Linked DNA regions of Struthio camelus. The protein of the gene in region 1 interacts with the protein of each later gene in a biochemical or structural test. Links are inferred from orthologs where the notes say so. Each region holds a gene or a part of one and is shown on either strand. Other genes may lie near its edges.

What was found. The genes of interacting proteins can lie anywhere in the genome.
Region 2: of the proteins of KLHL12 (region 1) and DRD4, one has a biochemical effect on the other in vitro, tested with the Homo sapiens proteins (2 studies listed by BioGRID, with this or other methods). The link is inferred for Struthio camelus from reciprocal best matches to the Homo sapiens genes KLHL12 and DRD4.

The regions. Positions count from the first base shown.
Region 1 is NC_090965.1:2,851,674-2,861,787, reverse strand, and holds the start of KLHL12 (kelch-like protein 12), read right to left. Parts: upstream 4,139-10,114; 5' UTR 4,128-4,138; coding exon 4,047-4,127; intron 3,824-4,046; coding exon 3,626-3,823; intron 1-3,625. UniProt on the Homo sapiens protein: Substrate-specific adapter of a BCR (BTB-CUL3-RBX1) E3 ubiquitin ligase complex that acts as a negative regulator of Wnt signaling pathway and ER-Golgi transport.
Region 2 is NC_090946.1:5,166,433-5,176,208, forward strand, and holds the start of DRD4 (D(4) dopamine receptor), read left to right. Parts: upstream 1-5,965; coding exon 5,966-6,208; intron 6,209-9,776. UniProt on the Homo sapiens protein: Dopamine receptor responsible for neuronal signaling in the mesolimbic system of the brain, an area of the brain that regulates emotion and complex behavior.

The DNA of each region.
Region 1 (10,114 bases):
TGCTGACTTCCTTCCCCCTCGCATAAATCATGCAACTCACTCTGCAGAAGACACAACCTTCTTTGGGCTCAGTCTAAGATTCTGGAACCATATATCTTACCACTTATCCCAATCTACTACTTATTCTTGCCTTTCACTAATGCAGATACACAGAAGAGTACTGTAATAAACTCCTCCAATTTCGTCTTACAGGTAGGGAAAAAAGAAATGCTGGCATGACAGTGCTAATCGTGTGGCTCCATGCATTCTGGAAGACATTCATAGTACAGTGAGGATAACCATGTAAGAACCTGAATAGAAACACAAGCCTTTTATTTTCAGAATAAGAACAAAATTTCAACTTTTTTTGGAGGAAAAAAAAACCTCTTCAATTTCTACAAGATACTCTCTAAGAGAAGATAGGCTAGCTTCTTTCTGAGGTGGAGCCAATGATCAACTCTTAACATATCCTGAGTTATGTTAACACGTCCAAACAAAGGCAGAAATCCCAGTGCAAAACTAGGACGCAAGGGAGCACTTGCTGAAACTGCTCTTCAGTTTCCACCACAAGAAAAATCTCTGTAGGTAAAACTGATGGGCTGTTTCAGTACTCCCGCACTCCTCAGCACAGAGGCAGAGAAAGGAAATGAGAGACGCATGGGTTGAGAAACGTAGCTTTCTATGATGATAATCTCAGATGATAGTCTTAGTGCTACACTGACTGACCACGCAAAGACGTAACATCCTGAATGACACAGGGCATGACCGAGGGATCAGAACAAAGCCTTGTGTAGCCCGAGTCTGACAAAAGCCACATGTTGCAACTAGCCAAGGAGTCCCCAAATTTGCAGGAGATTAGTGACGAATTGCAAAGGAAACCTTGTAGAGACCGACAGCCCATTACGCAATCAGGCATTTTGATTCCCTCAAGTTATAGGCAAGGCCAAAACACTCTATACCCGCAAGAATTTGGATAGCAACCAAATGCTGTCCCATTACGCTCACCAACATACTTGTCATTAACACATATAGGAAGTAGGTCCACTTTGAGGCTTACCAAGCTGTCATTTCTTGGAAAGAACATTCTTCCACAAACACACAGTAATTGTGTGTGCCACTTGGCAAGTTTGTTATTTTGGGATTTCCATATGAAAAAGGAAAATTGGAAGAAATACCAACTAAGCAAAAAGTAAAACCTTTCAAGCAGCAGCAGTCTGGAAGACAGAGAGTGAACGATCATGCCCACTGCATGCTAGATACACTTATATTCCCAGAAAAAAATTTAACCATGAATTAAAGTCACTACAGTGACAGAATCAGAATGGGAGCGTAAAGGAGCAAGGAGAGACGATCTCAGCTTAGATCCAAAGTACACCAATTGCTGTTTTCCTCAGCTTTTGTTATCGGCCACAAGGACTATTCTATACGGTGTAGAGTGATCTGATCTCTGTAGACTGTGTAGATAAAGTCCAGGAAGTCAAAGGCACTGACAAGAACATAGGGGCAAACAAAGAAGCAGGGAGAGTCTGCCCTACTGCTGTGTATGTTGAAGCCACTAGTGAATAGAGAACTTCAGCCTCCAGGGGCTGAATTTGCTTTGTGTATTTTATTTTTTTTTAAAATTATATCTCCTTGTGCAGAGAAAGTGCACAAACCTGTTAAATTTACAAAATTCATGAAGACATGGATAAAAAAATATGTTGGTATGTGGCTGGTCCGCATATGTCTGTCTCTGCTTGCTTTGCACACACCTATAGAAATTAAGACACCTGTTCACCCTTCCCAGCACTGAAAGAAACAAAAATAGGCACACACCTCGCAAGTCACAGCTCTACAGACAGTGGTCATTACAGGCTAAGACAAAGAAGAAAATGATTCTCTCCTGAAAGGACTACTGGGTTAGCAGGCAGGTCTTTAGGACCTCTGGGGCTACTTAGTCATTTTTCTTCCTGCCAAGAGGGAAGTTGCTATGACAAGGAAAGCAATCTTATGTAAGGAGAAGCCACAAAGACTGATTCAAACTTATAAAAGACAAGGCCAGGCGCAGAATCTCCTACTTAACAACACAATTGAGTGCTAGCTTTAGCTCAAGTATTACCTTTCAGTGCTTCAGAGAAACAGCGTGTCCTTAATGTGAGTCAATATAACACGTACTGTGAGAGCAAAGATTCTCACAAGTGACATTTGTAGAGTACAGCAGTTGTGGCTTACGGTGTTACCTCCAACCTCTTGCGCTAGAGGTTACATCCTCTTCACAAAGGCAACAGCACAACCACCCACGTGCCAGGCGCTCAGCCAGTGTGAAACACAGACCCTTACGTAAGTTAAGTAGCATCCATTTCAGTTTTAAAGTGGCTGCCTTAACTCACCACCCGGACTAAGGTGCGCAGCACTGCTAGTACAGCTTTGTGCTAGGGCTGGCAACTTTGGCAAGACAGATGGCTGGAAACAGGCAGGCCTTAAACTGCCGCTAGAAAAACCAAGTAGAGGCATCAGAGACTGCTGGTTTGTCAGCTCAGACTGGCATCTCTCTGGTGCACAGGCTGGTTGTACAGTAGACAGCGATTCAGGACTAGAGTCTCAAATGCAGCCTTTAACTCTCACCATGCCACAACCGAGCAATCTAGCACCATGGCAGAGTGACCTAGCACCATGACGGGACAAGCCAGTACCACGACTGGGCTATCTAATGCCACGATGGAGCAAGCTGGTGCCAAAACTGAGTAACCCAGCACCGTGATGAAGTGGCCTGCCGCCACATTGGAATGACCCAGCACCATGATGGTGTGACCCAACACCAGCTGGGCCATCTAACTCCACGAAGAGGCAACCCAGTGCCACAACAGAGTGACGTGGCACCATGACTGCACGACCTGGCACCATGACTATGCCAACTAATGCCATGATCAGGCAAACTAGCACCTCAGCACCAAAACCAGGCAACCTAGCACCGTGGTGGAGTGAGTCAGAGTCACAACGAAGTGACTTGCCGCCACAGCAGAGCGACCCAGCACCATGATGGAGAGACCCAGCACCAACTGGGCCACTTAAGGCCATGACCAGGCAACCTAGTGCTACAACAGAACAACCCAGCGCCACGACCGGGCCAACTAAGGCCATAACCAGGCAGCGCAGCAATACAACAGAGCAATCTGGCACCATGACCAGGTGACCCAGTGCCACAACGAGGCCAACTAATGCCATAACCAGGCAACGCAGCGACACAACGGAGCCATCTGGTGCCATGACCAGGTGACCCAGTGCCTCAACCAGGCTAACTGATGCCATGACCAGGCAATGCAGCAACACAACAGAGCGACCCGGCACCACAACCAGACTACCTAATGCCATGACCAGGCAACCCAGCACCACGAGGGAGTGACCCACTGCTGTGACCAGGTGTCCTAGTGCCACAACGGAGCTACCCAGCACCATGACTGGGCGACCCAGTGCCAGGACCAGGTGTCCTAGCACCACGCTAGAGCGATCTAGCGCCGACCGCTGAACAGCCTGACAGCAGGCAGCCCGAGCACTGAGTGACCCTTTCTGCTCCACAACGCCGAGCGCCTAGGGGCCACAGACAGCCCAGCACCGGGCAACCGAAGGCCCTGGCCCCGCGGCAGGGAGGCGTTCGAGGAGCACCGACCTCGCTGGTGAACATGGCGCAGAAGTAGTCGCTGCAGGCGGCCAGGACGATGCGGTGGGCCGGGAAATCCTTGTGCTCCACGCGCAGGGTGACATCGCAGAGCGTGTTGCTCTTCCGCAGGGCGTTCATGGCGTTGAGGATGGACTTGGCGTGCGAGTTGGTCATGATGTCCTTGGGGGGGGCCATGGCGCCCGGCACCTGCGGGCACAGCCAGCACGGCCACATGTCACGGCCAGGCCCGCCCGCCCGCCGCGCCGCCAGGGGGCGCCCTCCGGCCCGCGCCGCCGCCGCTCCTTCCCTTTCCTCTTCCCCTTCCCCGCCGCCCCCGCCCCGAGAGGCGCCCGCCGCGCCGGGCCCGCCGCGCCGGGGCGCCACCAGCCGCCGCCGCCGCCCCCCGGGGCCCGCCGCGCCCCGCACTCACCGCCGCGGGGAGAGGTCCCGGCTCCACGCACCGCGCCTCCCCCCCTCCCTCTCCCCGCCCGGCGCGCCCTGATGGCGTCATGGCCACCGCGCCACCCCGCCCCTCGGGTGCCTCCCGGTTGCCGGGCAACAGGCCTCCCTCCCGTTGCCTAGGGAGCGGGCTTGGCCCGGCCCCCCCCCCCCCCCCCCCCGCCGTCCCCGGGCTCCGCAGGGCGGACGGGCGGGACCCTCCCCCTCCCCCTCCCCCTCCCCCCCGCTGGGTCGGCGCCCTCCTCTTAGCCGGGCCTGGTGGCCTGGGCCATAACGGCCATAACGGCCCAGCGCCTCGGGCGCACCTGGGGGCTGCGAGCGGGGCAGGCTGCACGGCCAGCGCCGCAGCGAGGCTGTGTTTTGCTCAGGTTTTAGGAAGTTCCGAGTCAATTTGTAAAATTTACTTGACCTCTCCCTCTCTCGCTGCGGAGGGGCGTGGAGCCGCCGGCAGAGCTGTGGCAAAGCGCCCCACCGCAAGCAGGACACGCTGAGCGTCCCCTGTGTTGTGGCTCCTTGGAGATGAGTAACCTGGAACTGGCCATGCCGGTACGGCCAAAGCAGAAGTGAGGCCCCAGGAAACTGAGAGACTGATTTGAAATCATGAGATTTTTGAGTGCGTGCTGTTTTTCAAAGTCATCCTGCACAAGCAGCGCAGCGTCTCAGGCAGGTCCTTTCCAGCTAACTCTGGGTCTTCAGACATTTTTTGTCTTTTAAATAAGCAAAATATTTAAAAACGGGAAGGATGAATTAAAATGGTGGAAAAAAGCATCAACTTTGTTATTGTGTAAACAAAAGTAAGGTACATCCACAGGGCTCAGAAACAGTGTATAAATAAACCTACCACAGTAATGGAGATTCAGAAAAAACTAATATTTGTAGAGAGGTAGCTCGGAAAAGGAACATGACATCCTCCTCCGTTCTAATGTGGTTGCATCAAACAATAGTCATGCCACCTCAAACATACTGTAAGAATGCACCATGTTCTTGGAGATGTTCATATCTGGACAAGGCCCTAAGCAACCTAATGTAACACTGAAGCTGGCCCTGCTTTGAGTGGGGTTGGACGGTAAACCTCCAGAGGTCCTTTCCAGTCTAAATTATGGGCTGAGTCTATGTTAATGTCTGCAGAGCCAAATTCCCTGACTGTTCATGCTGTCCTGTCCTTGGAGTGTCCTCTGGGATTGCACGAAAGGGTCCCAACTGGTATGGCACAGGAGAGAAATTTGGAAGAACTTAATCTGTAGGCTTCGTTTTGGGTTACTCCCTCAGGCGCTCTGGCTAGCTCAAGCTGGAGGCTTTTTGCTCCTGGGACAGTGCCAGCCCAGTAAGTGAAAGGAGCAGGCATCTTGCCTACGTTGTGGCATGTTCAAAGAGGCACTCCGGTTGTGGCAGAATGTCAGGAGTGGGGCCTGACATTGAAATAACATAGGTGGTCTATGTGCCATAGCTTTTTGGGACAGATGGTAGTGAATTTCATGTGCTGCAGGCCTGTTCAGGTAAGTCATACGTTCTTCCACCCCTGTGCTAGAACATCAGGGAGGCAATTACCCAGTCGATGCACTGGATTGACTAGGGGCTGCACCTGTATGTGCTCACAAGAGCTGCAATAGGTCCTAGCTCAGTATCTCCTTTGCAAGCTGTTCTGGGAAAGGGGCTGCTACTCCACCACTCATGCTGTAAATTGAATCTAGTTTGCCCCAAAATTAATGTAGAGAGACTGTGTCTTCAGGTCACACAGGCTAGGTACACTGGGAAGAGATCCCCATGAAGCCCACATCTCCAAGCTGTACTCTAGCTTTTCTCCTCTCAAACATACTCTATCTTTCTCCTTAAAAAGGCAAGTTAGGCCCTTTCTCTAGAGATCAACAATTCAGAGCCCAAATTCCTGAGCCTGAGCCTTTACACTCACTGCTGCTTGAGAATCATGGTTGAAAATGTCTCCTGTTCCTTCCTTACTATTCTGTACCTCACAGTTTTCAGAGCTGTCCTTCACCATCAGAGTAATCTGAAAACAAATTACTTCCACAGTTGCTAGTGATCAGTGTGTTTTGCGGAAATGACTGATATGATTGAGACAAGCATTAAGTCCATCATGTTTATAGGGAGGCACAAGGATTTCAGGATACAGATACATGGAGTTTGGAAGAGTTGAGTGTACGTCAGTGACAGATAGGATAGGGGCATACCAGACATGTCTGCCCTCAAACACCTCAGGAGCTCACAGTGTCAATGTGAATCACAGGCACTAGTCTGTAGTGTCAGAAAAGAAAGGATATAAATACAAAATAGGTGTGCCCAGGATAGATCAACAAGAGATTTTGCCTAATGCAGGCAAAAATATCACAAACTATTTTTGACTTGTGAACAAAGTGATTTTGTTTGAAATACTTCTTAGTTAAAAAGAATATTTTGAGGACTTAAAATGCAACAGAATCAACGTAATTTAAACATTAATCTGGCATCTTTCATTGTTCACTCTAAGAGAAAAATATTTTACAATAAAGATTCTTTTTATTCCCCACATCCTCTCCGCTTTTGCATACCAGGCCTTTGAAAAATTAAATAAACCCCCAAATGCTGCATTTTTTATTTCTTAAGAGCTTCCATTTTTTTCTGGACTCTCATATCTTTGGTCCCCATGCTAGACACATTTTTCATGCTTACTCAGCACACAGAATCGTTTTATTGCTGTGGGAGGAAAAATGGTTTGGGAAAGGCTTATAAGAAAGGTTAGACCCGGGTTGACTGAGTCACTTGGGTCACATCTGACAAAAGCCATCACCAGACTGGGTACATCCTCTAACCAGCAAAGGCCAGAGCACTCAAAGTGCCTAGTGATTTCTGCTAGGCATTGCACTGAGCTGCTCATTTGATGACATGCGAGTCTGTTTTCAATTCTTGTGCTACAGTTTCTAGCAGAAAAAGTCAGTTATTGAATTTCAGCTCTCTTACAAGCCCTGGGTTAATATCATCTTCCTTCTTTTTTTCAGTCCAGTTGCCTGATGAATGTTCTTCAGTTGAAAGCTTTGAAGGAAGAGGCAATTTCTTATATCACAGCAACTGACATTCCTGGAAAAACAGGCCAGCTTTTGGACGCTCAAGCTCTCCTTCAAGCCTGGAGCAGAAGCAGGCCATGCCAGATTCTTCTTGAGCAGTGGTTTACCAGTTTGGGATGGGCAAGTTTATCGTGGCTGCAATCACGGAAGAACCAGACTCTTTGATCCTCCACTTCTTACATGTTGATTTACATTCTGGCTTTACTCCGGAGCAAGTCAACCAGATCCCCAGGGGAGAAACTCATGCTCATTGTGAGCGGAGTGGTGGGAAAGGGAACCAGGCTGGACTTCATCCTCAAGAGGCAGCAGGGATGTGACTATTACTGCTGTGGCCTATGTTTACCTGTAGCTCTCCCAAAATATACCAGAGTACTTTCTGATCTTCCCTTTTTGCTCTCTGTATTTCTACATGCCACTAAAAAAGTCTGTAAAGAAGACATGGCACATCCCCTCTCTGTTGCAGGGAAACAGTTCTGTCACCATATCTCATGTCTGGAAGAGCTAAGAGTCATCCAGCTGGTAAGATCTCAGTGCAGCATGGGTATGGAGCAGGCTGGGTACACCTGAGGGCAACGTAAGTATAAATTAAAAAAAAAAAAAACTCAAGAAGGTCAGTATCAGGTCTGCAACTGTCCTTCTTGGGCAGCATGCCTTTTCATGAAGGCTATGTGAAACCTTTGGAAGGGAGACTTCCAATGGTGGTATTTCACAAGTGTAGGGCCAGGGCAGCCCTAGGATGGGTAAGAAAGAGCCTCAGACATATGCCTTAATGACCATAGGTGTTTTAGTCTGTGGAGTCCAGGAGATGGGCCCACCTCTAGCCAGATGGAAGGTCTTTGTCAAGACTGGAACAATTTACATGGTCTGGACTTTTCAACCCCCAGAAGGAGCTGCTCAGGTCTGGGAATGGTGTTTATTGTGTGAGCACTAATAGTGTGAACAGGGAGGGCAGAGGGCAAGGATACCTGACTCAGCCTAGGGGACACATGATATCAGAGATGCTGACCACTGTCTGCAGCCTGGAGAAGGAAATCAGAAGCATGCACTGCCTCTGGCTGGGCAGAGATCCCTGCCCTGTCATCTCAGACCTTTGCCTTCTCTTGTCAGAGAATCAGAAATTCTGGCAAGGCACAAGTGGGGGACACTTCTCTTGTTAGAAGGCGCAACCATGCAAGACTTTCTGGAATTTCAGTCTAGCAACAAAATGTATCAGAAGCTGAGCCACTGCTGGTCAACTGGGTCACGATCAGGTGTATCTCCAAGAGAGGTTACACCTGTCCCATTGTGGCTGTCCCTGTCCCACACCTTCCTTTGCTGACATTTTTTACTGTAGGTAATTGAGAGTTGGCGGGGAGTCTGCACTGGCCTAGCTCACTTTCTGAAAGACTATCACAGATGATGTGTTACCAGTCTGGGATTGTTGCAGTATGTAAGCATGGAAAGATTCATAGCAGATGCAATTTCATTTCTGATGCCCTGCAAGGTGCTGTTATCTTACTCTGTCTGCAATATGGGCGTGCCAGCCCTTGCCCTGAAATTGTAGTCAGTGGTGGAAATCCTATGATTACATCTGTCTTCTCTTTGCTCTTCATGGCATAAGACTGTGGCTGTGGTCCAATGAATATAGGCTTAACAGTGAAAATGCTCCCAAATCCAGCACCATTTGGACAGTTTAAATCAAGGCTCTAATCCTCCCCCAAGACACCATCACATAACCATTATGTCTCAAAGAAATGCCTATTGTAAAATTACTCCACCTTCGTCATGGAGCCATTGTGAAAACCCACTGAAGGAGGCCAAAAATACTGCCAAGGAGCTATCAAGAATAAACACTAACCCCCACAAAGGAACCATTGTGAATAGGACTGTAAAAAATGGAGGGATTGTTGAATAAATCCCTTCAAAGTCCCTCATGAGAATGCTCCAAAAATCACACAAAATATTTTTAATGTTGGTTTCTTTACATGTGGGATTTTTTGGTTGCTTTTTATGGTCCTTTTAATGGGGTGTTTATGGCTATGCTTCGGCATTATAGAACACTTCCAAAATGGCTTCTGTGGTAGTATCTGGGGCAATTTTAGAATTATGAAGATGTTCACAGTAAACCAGTATTGTTGATCTCTAGCACAGCTTCACCACTGCCTTGAGGATTTTTCACAATTGTTTCATCAGTAGTGCCCTATAGGCATTTTCTAAATGCCCCTTTGATGAGGCCACAGAGGAATTTGATAAATTGCTTATGGTGGGGCCTTAAATCCATGTATTTTCAAAATTGCCTTTGTCTGTGATTTCTGGTGTGCTGGGTACATAGTTCAAAGGCTTTGTTCCAGCTTTCTGGTGAGTCCCAGAATGGTTCATAGATTTTGAATGATTTTTCAAACTATTCTTGCCTCTGCCCCTTAGATGAAGTCTTTGATACACTTTAAAATGTCTTTTGGATACAAGGGGACTTAAAATGGTTCCAGAATGGGGGAGTGTCTTCAGGAATACTGTAAGAAATGTCTCACGAGTGTAATATAAGAAGCATTTGAAAAAGCATCTGATGACATCTTATGCTCATCTTCAAAATGGCATGTGTCTCTGGGGAATGATTTAGGTGTTTATGGGATGTGATCTGTCAGGTACTTTCAGAATGGTCAACGAGTCCATATGCTAATGAGGACAGGATCTTCTACAAACATTGTAAAGATGATATAATGATATGTTATAAGGATCCACAGTGAGATGCATTACTGCAGAAGTGTCCGCACACCACGAGAGGGCAGAGTAGCTCCAGGTCTGCTCTAGCAATTCTACGAAGAAAGGATTTTCCCAGCTTTTCTTCCGTAAAAACTATACAAGCTGTGTGTGGGTGTTTGTGTGTGTACGTGTGTGTGTGCGCGCGCGCGCGCGCATGTGTGTGTGTGTGTGATGGTGGCTGGAAGGAGTCTCAGTATTCTCCAGAAGTACCCGTGCAGAAAAGGAGCTAATATTCTCTCTTTGC
Region 2 (9,776 bases), on another chromosome or scaffold:
GCCTCTCTGCTTTGTAGCTGACACAGGAGAGGAGAGCAAAGGCTGGTTTTTCCCATGGGCAGCACCCAAAAAAGCAAAAGACAGGCTCCAGACACATTTAGTTTTCCGGAGCAGAGGGGAACTCTGACTTCCTGCCCTGCTGGGGAGGTCTCTCCATCACCAAGGAAGCACAAAAGGTTTTGTGAAGGCCTGCAAAGACAAGCTGCATCCCCCATGGCCATCACCTGCTGGGTCTTTTGGGCCTTCATACAAATCTTCTTTGGGGGCTGCCAAAGTGCCCGTGCTCTGCTCGTGCCCAAGCAATCTCCAGGGTGTGGGATGCAGGGTTGGCACAACACATACCACCTCAGAGGCTGCTCTGGGTGACATCTTCCCAGCCGGAAAGGGCCTCATGCCTCAACGCAGAGGCGTGCCCAGCACTGCCTGCCCACGGCAGAGCTGGGCGCTAGCGCTCCCCACGTGCCCGGCCTTATTGCAGCCCTAATTGGCATCAGCGGCCGTAATCTCAGCCTCCAGCTGTTTGACGCATCTGGGGAAGAGCAGAAAGCACTTTGGGGAATTAATTTTAATTATAAAGTGGACATGCTCTGCATGCTGGCTGGTAGTTGGGCCTGGCCCGGCTGTTCCAGGTGCGCAGTGCCAGCAACAGACCTGGCAGCTACGCAGCCCCATGGGCTTAATTTGGGCTGCGTCCCTCTACCAACCGTGCCAGGCACCTGAAAGGACATCCCTTCTGGGTGACTGACAACAGGCTTTGCGAAGAGGAGCCTAGCCGGAGATGAGTTTGCAGGCATTTGCTGCTCGCAGCCGCTCAGAGCTTCCAGCGTGCCCCTCTGCATGCATTGCGTCTCCTCCTCCCCAGGAGTTTTTCTTAACAAGTGGATCCAACAAGCTCATTGATGTTTTAAAACCAAGAGGGACCCTTAAAGTGTTTCTGTGTGCTCTTGCCTGTGGCGCAAGCCCACCCGATCACCCCTGTGTGAGATCAATTATGTGGGTAAGTCTAAAGCCAGGCATCCCCAAAACCATCCAGTTTTGATTATAAACTACCAGAGACAGTAAATCCACCCTTGCTTCTCTGTAGTTTCATTCCCATAGCTAATCATCATTACTTATGCATGAGTTTCACTTCTTTCTTGGATTTATCTTAACTTACCAGGATTTTAAATGTGAAAAGATCTATTCAGGCAGCGTCTTGCAGGGGGGACTCAGAGAGCCTGGAAAGCCAAGAGAGAGTCCTGCCACCCTCTTCCCTCCCTTGCAAAGGTTAACCTGAAAGGCAGGACGCTGCCTCTATGCCTTTTCTTGGAAATGTATTACAGGCAGATTGTAAAGCAGGATGGCTTCGGATGATACGTTCACAGAGAATTGCTCAGCTAAGTGTGTCAAATAAAAGGAGCAGGATTGGCTTTAAAAGCTCTTTATGTACCTCCCTTTGTTCTGAACCTGAAGATAGTGATCTTTCACCCAGCTATCAGGACACTATTCAACAGTTGAGTTTAGGCACATCTGTGCTGAAGCATTGGCAGGTAATTTTGTTCTCCTCTCCTATTTAAAAATTCAGTGCTTCAAGCACAGAAAAACTGTAATGATAAAAGTTCTGTGTCTTTTGGGAGACACTGACAGATGTCTCACTTTGCGACCTTCCAGTCCTCTGAATTGGCTCACCACCAAACACTCTGTTAACTCATCCCAGCTGAGTCTTGGGGGACACCTTGCGGCTCCTAAGCTGGTGGCTGGGATCCCGCGGATGGATGAGGCCAGGGCCCACCCCAGGCAGGCTAGCAAACCAGCTGGGGGGATACTGGTTGTGAACGATTGCCAGGGAAACTCAGGTTACTCTGTTTGGTCAGTTTGCATCAGAAATGGGTGCTTTGCCCATGCTGCCGTGAGCTGGGGCTGAGGCAGCACGAATTTGTGGGTGGCTGGCAAAAGGAAAGGCCTGTCCTGGGGTGCTGCTCCCCCTACAGTAAGTTATTGGCTAAGCTACTGGTTCCCACTGGTGAAACGGGGAGATATCAAGCTGAAGAGCTAGCTACAGGCAGGGCTGGGCTGGAGAAGTGGGACGCCCACAGCCCACTTGAGCAGAGGTCCTGGGTACCAGAGCCTCATTTTCCCATATTTGACCAGACTGTATCCCTGATGCAAGAGATGTCTCATTGATGCAGTGGCTGGGCAACCAGTTTGCCAGATTTCAAGGAGGGAAACTGAGGCATAGTCTTCTATGAGGCTGGGGTGTCCCTGCTGGCAGAAGGTGCTGCTGTTCACCCTTCTGTATGCTTCGCAGCACCAGCCGAGGACAGAATAAAACATTTTTTTCTGCTGAGAGAAGCAGCTGTGGGTACCTTTCAGCGCCTCTCCATCTCACTGCCCTAAGCCACCAGCCTGTGACACTGCGACAGGTGAAGCAGGATCCTTTGCAGCCTGCGCATCCGAGCAAAAAAGGGTTGTTCAAGGCCAAAGACCACATCAGACGCTCTCCACAGGAGCTCCTAAACACTCGCTGACCATCGTTCAAACACTCCAGCCCTGGCACGTAATGCTCCCTCCTTTCTGCGGAGGTGACAAATGGCTCTGTCCCTTATCACCCTCCCTTTTTTTTTCACAGCCACATGGGGTGACTTCTGTGGATATGGCGAGGCATTACCTTCCTTCTCTTATCCTAGGAGGATAGACCCTCTTATCCTAGGAGGGAGCAATGTGGTCTGAGGCTCTGACCTGCTAATGGAAAAGAGGGTGCTTCGTTGCTCCCCTGGAGATGCTGTCAAACAGAAAAGTGACTGAAGTCAGTCAGCACATGTCAGCTTTCCCAGAGCCGGCCTGGCAGGATGTGGTTTATGGCAGTATCCACCAAGGAACGAGGGTGCAGTATGGGCAGAGCGGTGGCAAGCAGGCACAGAGGAACCAGAAAGAGCAGAGATTACAGTGAGTTTGTGGTAGAAGAGCTGTCCTAATTAGTGCATCGCATGGCTGCTCTTTTCTGGAAGTCAAAAGCCTTATTTCACATTAGTTTAATCTATTCCAGGATTAAACTGGTTTAGGATTAAAGCATAGTTAGTCTGGAATGAGAGCTTCCACAATGAGAGTTAAGAGCCATTCGGCACTAACCGATGGGGAAAATCAAGATAATTAATTAATACAAATTAACTATTAAAGTGGATTAGATGAATGGCATTAATCCCTGTGAGAAGGTAGAAGGCCTGTGGTCACAACTCAGTCCTGATCCCTTTGCTGCTTGGATTAATTAAACATAAATAAATTATGTATGCTCTGTCCATATAGGCTTCCAGTGCAGTTTAATTAATTCACCTCAAGTCCCTCCTTTAGCTAATTTGAGTTGATTTCTTTGAGTAAAAGGGTTATAGTAAAAAGTGGTTCCACTGGAGCAGCTCTCCATTAACCAAAAGCTGTTGCAGCAGCGGGTGCGTGGGCAGTCAGGTTTTTGGGGACTGACCACTACACCAGAAAAGCTGTGATCAGGTGAAACAAACCACCAAGCTGATGCTAATTCACTCTGTTGAGATGTATGAGTTAAAAAAAAAATACAGATGGGGGGTCCATATCAGAATCACAGAATGGTTGAGGTTGGAAGTGACCTCTGGAATCACTGAGTCCAACCCTGCTGCTCCTGCAAGGTCACCTAAAGCATGTTGCCCAGGTCCCTATCCAGACGACTTTTGAATATCTCCAAGGATGGAGACTCCACAGCCTCTCTGGGCAACCTGCTCCAGTGCTCAGTCACAGTAAAAAAAGTTTTAAAAGTTTTTCAGTAAAAATGTTTTTCACTGTAAAAAAGTTTTTCCTCATCTCCAGACAGAACTTCCTCCCTTTCAGTTTGTGCCCATTGCCTCTCACCCTATCAGTGGGTGCCTCTGACAAGAGTCTGGCCCCATCCTCTTCACACCTTCCCTTCCGATATTCATACCCACCTATAAGATCCCCCCTCACTCTTCTCTTCTCCACACTGAACAGCCCCACCTCTCTCAGCCTTTCCTTGCATGACAGATGCTCCCGTCCCTTCAGCTTCTTGGTAGACCTTCACTGGATTCACTCCAGTAGCTCCATGTCTCTCTTGTATTGGGCAGCCCAGAACTGCACACAGCAGCCCACACGGGGCCTCCCCAGGGATGAGTTGAGGGGAAACCTCCCTTGACCTGCTGCCAATGCTTTGCCTAATGCAGCCCCGCACACTGTTGGCCTTCTTGGCCATCGGGCCACAGTGCTGGCTCACGGTCAGCTTGTTCTCCAACCAGGCCTCCCAGCTCCTTCTCTGCACACCTGCTCTCCAGCTGCTTTCTATGCACCAGTACAGGCTGGTGCATGGGTTTATTCCTCCCCAGGTGCAGGACTCTGCACATCCTGTTATTGAATTTCATGAGGTTCCTCTCTGCCCATCTCTCCAGCCTGTCAAGGTCCCCCTGGATGGCAGCACAGCCATTCATGCTTTACTCTTGCTCCCACTTACTGTTTAACTGAGACATGGTGCTCCATCTCCTTTCATGCGAAGACAGATGTCTTGTTTTGTTACCACTCACGGAGCAAGTGATATATTGTGACACAAGGCTGCTTGGGGTGGGAAGCACTGAATACTGAACACTAATTCCTTGCTCTTGTACTTGGACCATGGTAGCTAATCAAAGAGAAATTTCACCTTGTCAGAGCACCATGCAGAATTGTCCTTCTTCTCTATCTCCTGCTCAAAAAGCATCATTGGGCCTCTGAGAACAGGTGTTTGCCACTGGCGATGGAGGAAGTGACCAAATCCCTTGGGCAGAAGAGCAATGCATTAATTCCTGACTTTTTCAGCAAAGCACTGGACTGATGCTACACGCCTTGGCTATGGGAAGGGCTTGGTGACAAGATGAGCTTGGTCACAAGAAGAGGGTGATGACAGGGAGAGCTTGGTGGCGTTGGAGAGTGTGGCAACAAGACAAGCTTGGTGACAAGGAGAGTTTGGTGATGGAGAGCTTGGTGAGAGTGAGAGCTTGGTGACAGGGAGAGCTTGGTGACAAGACGAGCATTTGATGACATTGGAGAGCTTGGTGACAGGGAGCGTTTGATGACAGGGAGAGAGCTTGGGGACAAGGAGCGTTTGGTGACAAGATGAGCATTTGGTGACATTGGAGAGCTTGGTGACAGGGAGCGTTTGATGCCAGGGAGAGAGCTTGGGCACAAGGAGAGTTTGGTGACAAGATGAGCATTTGGTGACTTTGGAGAGCTTGGTGACAGGGAGCGTTTGATGCCAGGGAGAGCTTGGAGACAAGGAGAGTTTGGCGATGGAGATCTTGGTGAGAGTGAGAACGTGGTGACAAGATGAGCATTTGGTGACGCTGGAGAGCTTGGTGACAGGGAGCATTTGATGACAGGGAGAGAGCTTGGGCACAAGGAGAGTTTGGTGACGCTGGAGAGCTTGGAGACAGGGAGGGCTTGATGACAAGACGAGCTTGGTGACATGGAGAGCTTGGAGACAAGGAGCGTTTGGTGACCCTGGAGAGCTTGCCAACAAGGGGCTTGGGGCAGCAGCCTCCGTCCACCGCGGCAAGCTGAGCTGCTCGCCGCGGCCGAGCTCCAGCATCGCCCCGCCGCGACCCGGAGGCGCCGAGCGGGGGGCACCGGGCCGCTCTGCCCGACGTCGCCGGGGGCGGGCGAGGGTCCCCCCGCCGCAGCCGCCGCCCCCTAAGCCGCTCGCCGGTGGGCGGTGGTGACCCACTTGGTGCCGCGGGGGCCGGGCAGCCCGAGGCCGGCGGGGCGGGCAGCGGAGGCTCCTCCCCACCGGCCAACTTCGGGGCCGGGCCGGGCCGGGCCGTGCGGGCGTGGGAGCCTCGCCTCGCCTGGCCGCGGGGCCGGGCATGGCCGGCGGCGGCGCCGAGCCCCGCGGCGGCGGGAGCTGAGCGGGGTGCGGCGGGGACCGGCGGCGGAGGGGGGGGAGGTTTTTTGGGGGGGTGGGTCCCATGCACCGGGTGCCATGGGGAACGGCAGCGCGCCGCCACCGCCGCCACCACCGCCGGCGGCGGCGGGCCACAACGTCGCCGCCCTGGTGCTGGGCATCGTCCTCATCCTGCTCATCGTGGGCGGCAACGCGCTGGTGTGCCTCAGCGTCTGCACGGAGCGGGCGCTGAAGACCACCACCAACTACTTCATCGTCAGCCTCGCCGTGGCCGACCTGCTGCTCGCCGTCCTCGTCCTGCCCCTCTACGTCTACTCCGAGGTGAGGCCACCGCCGGCGGGCCCGGGGCTTGTGTGTGTGCGTGTGTGTGTGTGATGGGACGGGGGACAGCGGGGTGCCCCCGTCGCACTCAGGCTTTTTAAGAGGGTCCTGCCTCGGCGGCTTTCGTGCCCGGAGCTCCTGAAAGTTACAGGGCTCTGTGTGTGTGTGTTGGGGGGAGGGGGGATCCACGAGAGACCAAATATACCGAGGGTTTAAAAAGCTTCCCCTGGTTTATTTCCCCCACCTGCGGCTTGGAAATCCCAGCGGCGCCGCTGCCCACCTCCCTTGCTGCAGCCCCTGCCCCTGCCCTCCTGCTTCTTCCTCCTCCTCCCCTGCAGGAATGTTGCTTTCAAACCACTGCGGCTCCCCCCCCCCCCTTTTTTTTTTCCTCATGCCATCGCTGCTCATCTGCGGTGGAAAAAACTCTGAAGGACAATTAGCGGTGGGGGCAAAAAGCGGGTTGGCAGAAGTTCTTGTTCCCGCGATCGCAGCGCTGTGTGGTCCCCGTGTCCGTGGGTAAGGGGGCTTCCTCCTGTCCTTCTCCGAGGCGAGCCGTGATGCCGACACACGACCGCCGAGGTGGAGAAGCAGAAAGAGGAATCTTCTGGGTCGGGTGAGCAGCTCCAGGGAGTCCTTGGACAGGTCCCAGGCTGGAGAACTGGTTGCCAGTCAGCAAATGGTTAGGAAGGGGTGAGAGAGCTCCCGTGCTCTGCTCTGTCTGGTATGAGGTGCTCGGCTTTTGGGGATAAGGGAGCTCTTTAGCTAGGAAGCAGGTTGCCATGCCAGGTTGAGGAGGAGAAATTGCTTTTTTAGGGAGCTAGTCGGTGTTCTCCTTTGAAGGAGAACACCTTGTCTCCTTCCTTTGGTCTGCTTGCTGCAGGGCTCCTGCTGGCTGGATGTGCTCTCCTTTGTCCAGTCCTGACCCCATGTACGCAGGTGGCTGTGCAGAGGCACTGTGGACTTTGGGACAGGCCTTCTCTCCACCCCAGAAACTGCTATAGCTGAGGCAGAGATGTGCAGTTCAAGTTCTCCTGAGGTTGAGTGGTTTTGCATGTCTCTCTGCCTCTCTTTTCTCCGCTGTGAAAGGGAGATACATTTTTACTGCCGGAGGAGGAGGATTGATAACGCCTTGAGATTGCAGAGGGATTTGTTGGATCGGGGTGGGGAGGATCGCTAGTGGCTGCCTGTTAGTACTAGCCTGTGGCTCTTTCCTTGCTCTCACTGCAGCCCTACCTCTCCCCAGAGGTGAGCGGATGAAAGTCCCTATGGGCCAAAATAGCATTTTTTTGCCCCTCTCTTCTGGGGTAGCTGGTAGTGTGGAAGAAAAAGGAGTCCTCTTTTTTCTTTCCAGATTGGGGGGGGGGGGGGGGGGGAGAGCCAGGATTTTCTCTGGTGCAGAGTCTGAGCTGTAGCCTGGGGGCTCAGAGAGGCAGTTCAGCCAGACTTTCCGACCTTGTATTTGGCCACAGCCACATTGTTTGTAAGCTGGTTGCTTAAGTACTTTCTCAGGGAATGAAAGGGGCTGTCCCCATTCCCCAGCAGAGTGGTTTCCCACTGTTGACACTGGGGCCAGGCTAAAACAACAGCATACCAGAAGTGTTCAAGCCATAGCATTTCCCCTTCTCTCCCATGCCAGGGCTGCCATTCAGCACCTGATCAGGTCGGGCCTAAATTTTCTTAAGCAAGGTAGTCTGCGGATTAGAGCTTAGGATGCTTTTAGCCTCTCTACATGGTCCTAGGATTTCTTAGGACATTGTGACCTCTCTGAAGACAAAGGTTTTCTAGAGGGACAGGCTCTGCTGGGGAGCCATAAGAAGAACCAGTGAAGAACAGGAGCGACAGATTCCCCTCTCTCTTCCCCCCACTGACAGCCCCCCCCCTCCATGTTACTTCTTTTGGGTGGTCCCTTGTCTCAGTTCTGGGGTTAGAAAGCCAGAACCCCTCTTTCTCCACCATTCTTCTCAGCTACTTCTTGCTAATTGCAATTCCCTTTTTCTTCCCCTTGCTCCTTCTGTTGTCTCTCCATGCCTCCTGTCTCTGACTCCGTGGGCAGGTACTCATAGCAGTGTGGTTTCCTCTGGCCTGCAGGCCCAGATCTTGCTGGCATATGTAAAACGCTGGTTAGTGTCCTTGGGGGGGATACCTCTGAAAATGCTTCCAGTTGGGCACGAGCATTTTGGAGGTTTCCTTGGGTATCACAGAACATCCCACAAATGCTGGATTCTCAGATACCGGGTGTTCGACCCCACCTAAGCTTTAAAAACCTGGGCTGCCCAGCCTGTGCTTGAGCTGTGAATGATCCTTGAAGTGTGTTCATTTCCGTAGCTGTTCAGAAACATCAGTTATGGGGCTTAATTCTTCAGTGTCTCTGCACCCAGGATATTAAACAACAGGGAACGGAGGAGGCATATGGCAGAACTGTCCTTCCCTCTGAGTCTTGCGGCTCCTGCAACAAGGCAGTTATAATAAGAGACCTTGTGAAAGGCAGCACGCACCAGGATCTGCACTCGTCTGGTAGCCACTTCAGATCACCTCACAGACTGACTGCGGAAGGTACTATATGGGCAGGGAGCGAAGGGCAGCAATGTATAGCAAGCATAAGCTCCTCGAGCAGGCAATGGGGTTTGGAAATACAGGGCAGCGTAGGCCGTTTGTCAGTGTTGAAACACTAGTTTCCTGCTTTGCAATTTCTCTGTGGGCTCAGGGCTTATTCTTAATAATCTCCTATATATTGGTGGGGGATTTGCAGCTCGCTTCGTTGTGAAATATACTAAGAAAAGGTCAGAGTGGCCATTGAGTCAGTGCCAGTGGACAGAATTTTTCTGGTTTTCTCTAAGAGGAAGGAAAAAAGTGAAAGCTGGAGATCAGAATCAGATGCTCAATCTGCATGCATAAATGCAAATGCATCCCTTGTCCTGAAGGCTGGGACAGAGGCAGATCATCTAGTTGTTAACGAGGAAAGGAAAAGTGACCTTGGCAGGCAGGACAAGGGTCATAAGGTATAGGGACCACTGCTATTTAAAAGTAGCTTGGTTTCAACGTGCACTCTGCACATCTAGCCACTCCAAATGTGGCCTGGACAGTCAAGAGGCAGCTCCTGACTGTTTAACATTTGGGTTTTTTCCTCTCTTCTCTCTCTCTTTCTTTCTTTTTAATGCCACTCCTGACAGAGTAAAAGTGGACTTTTACCCAGAACCATAAAGTATGACTACTTCTTTCATTCAGCAGGAAAAGCTTGGTCACTTTGTGCTTTTCCCCTGTAAGATGACTTCTTGCGTCAGATTTCTAGAATTGTCCCTCCCAATCAGGGCTTTAGAAGACAGCTAGAGGGATTTAAATTTGAGATGTGACATCTGACATCCCTACAAAACGACAGATCTCCCACGGGCTTCCATGGGGCCAGGTTTCCCTCCTGTGAGATGTGGATTATCTCTTGCTGCTGTTCACAAAAGCCCAAGCACAGTGGGAGAGGCCTTGATCTTGGCTGCTATTTCTAGTTGTTAAGAAAGCTTATTCCAGTGCGTTAGCAACCGTTGTTGACACATGTTGTCCTGTCATACTTCTGAAA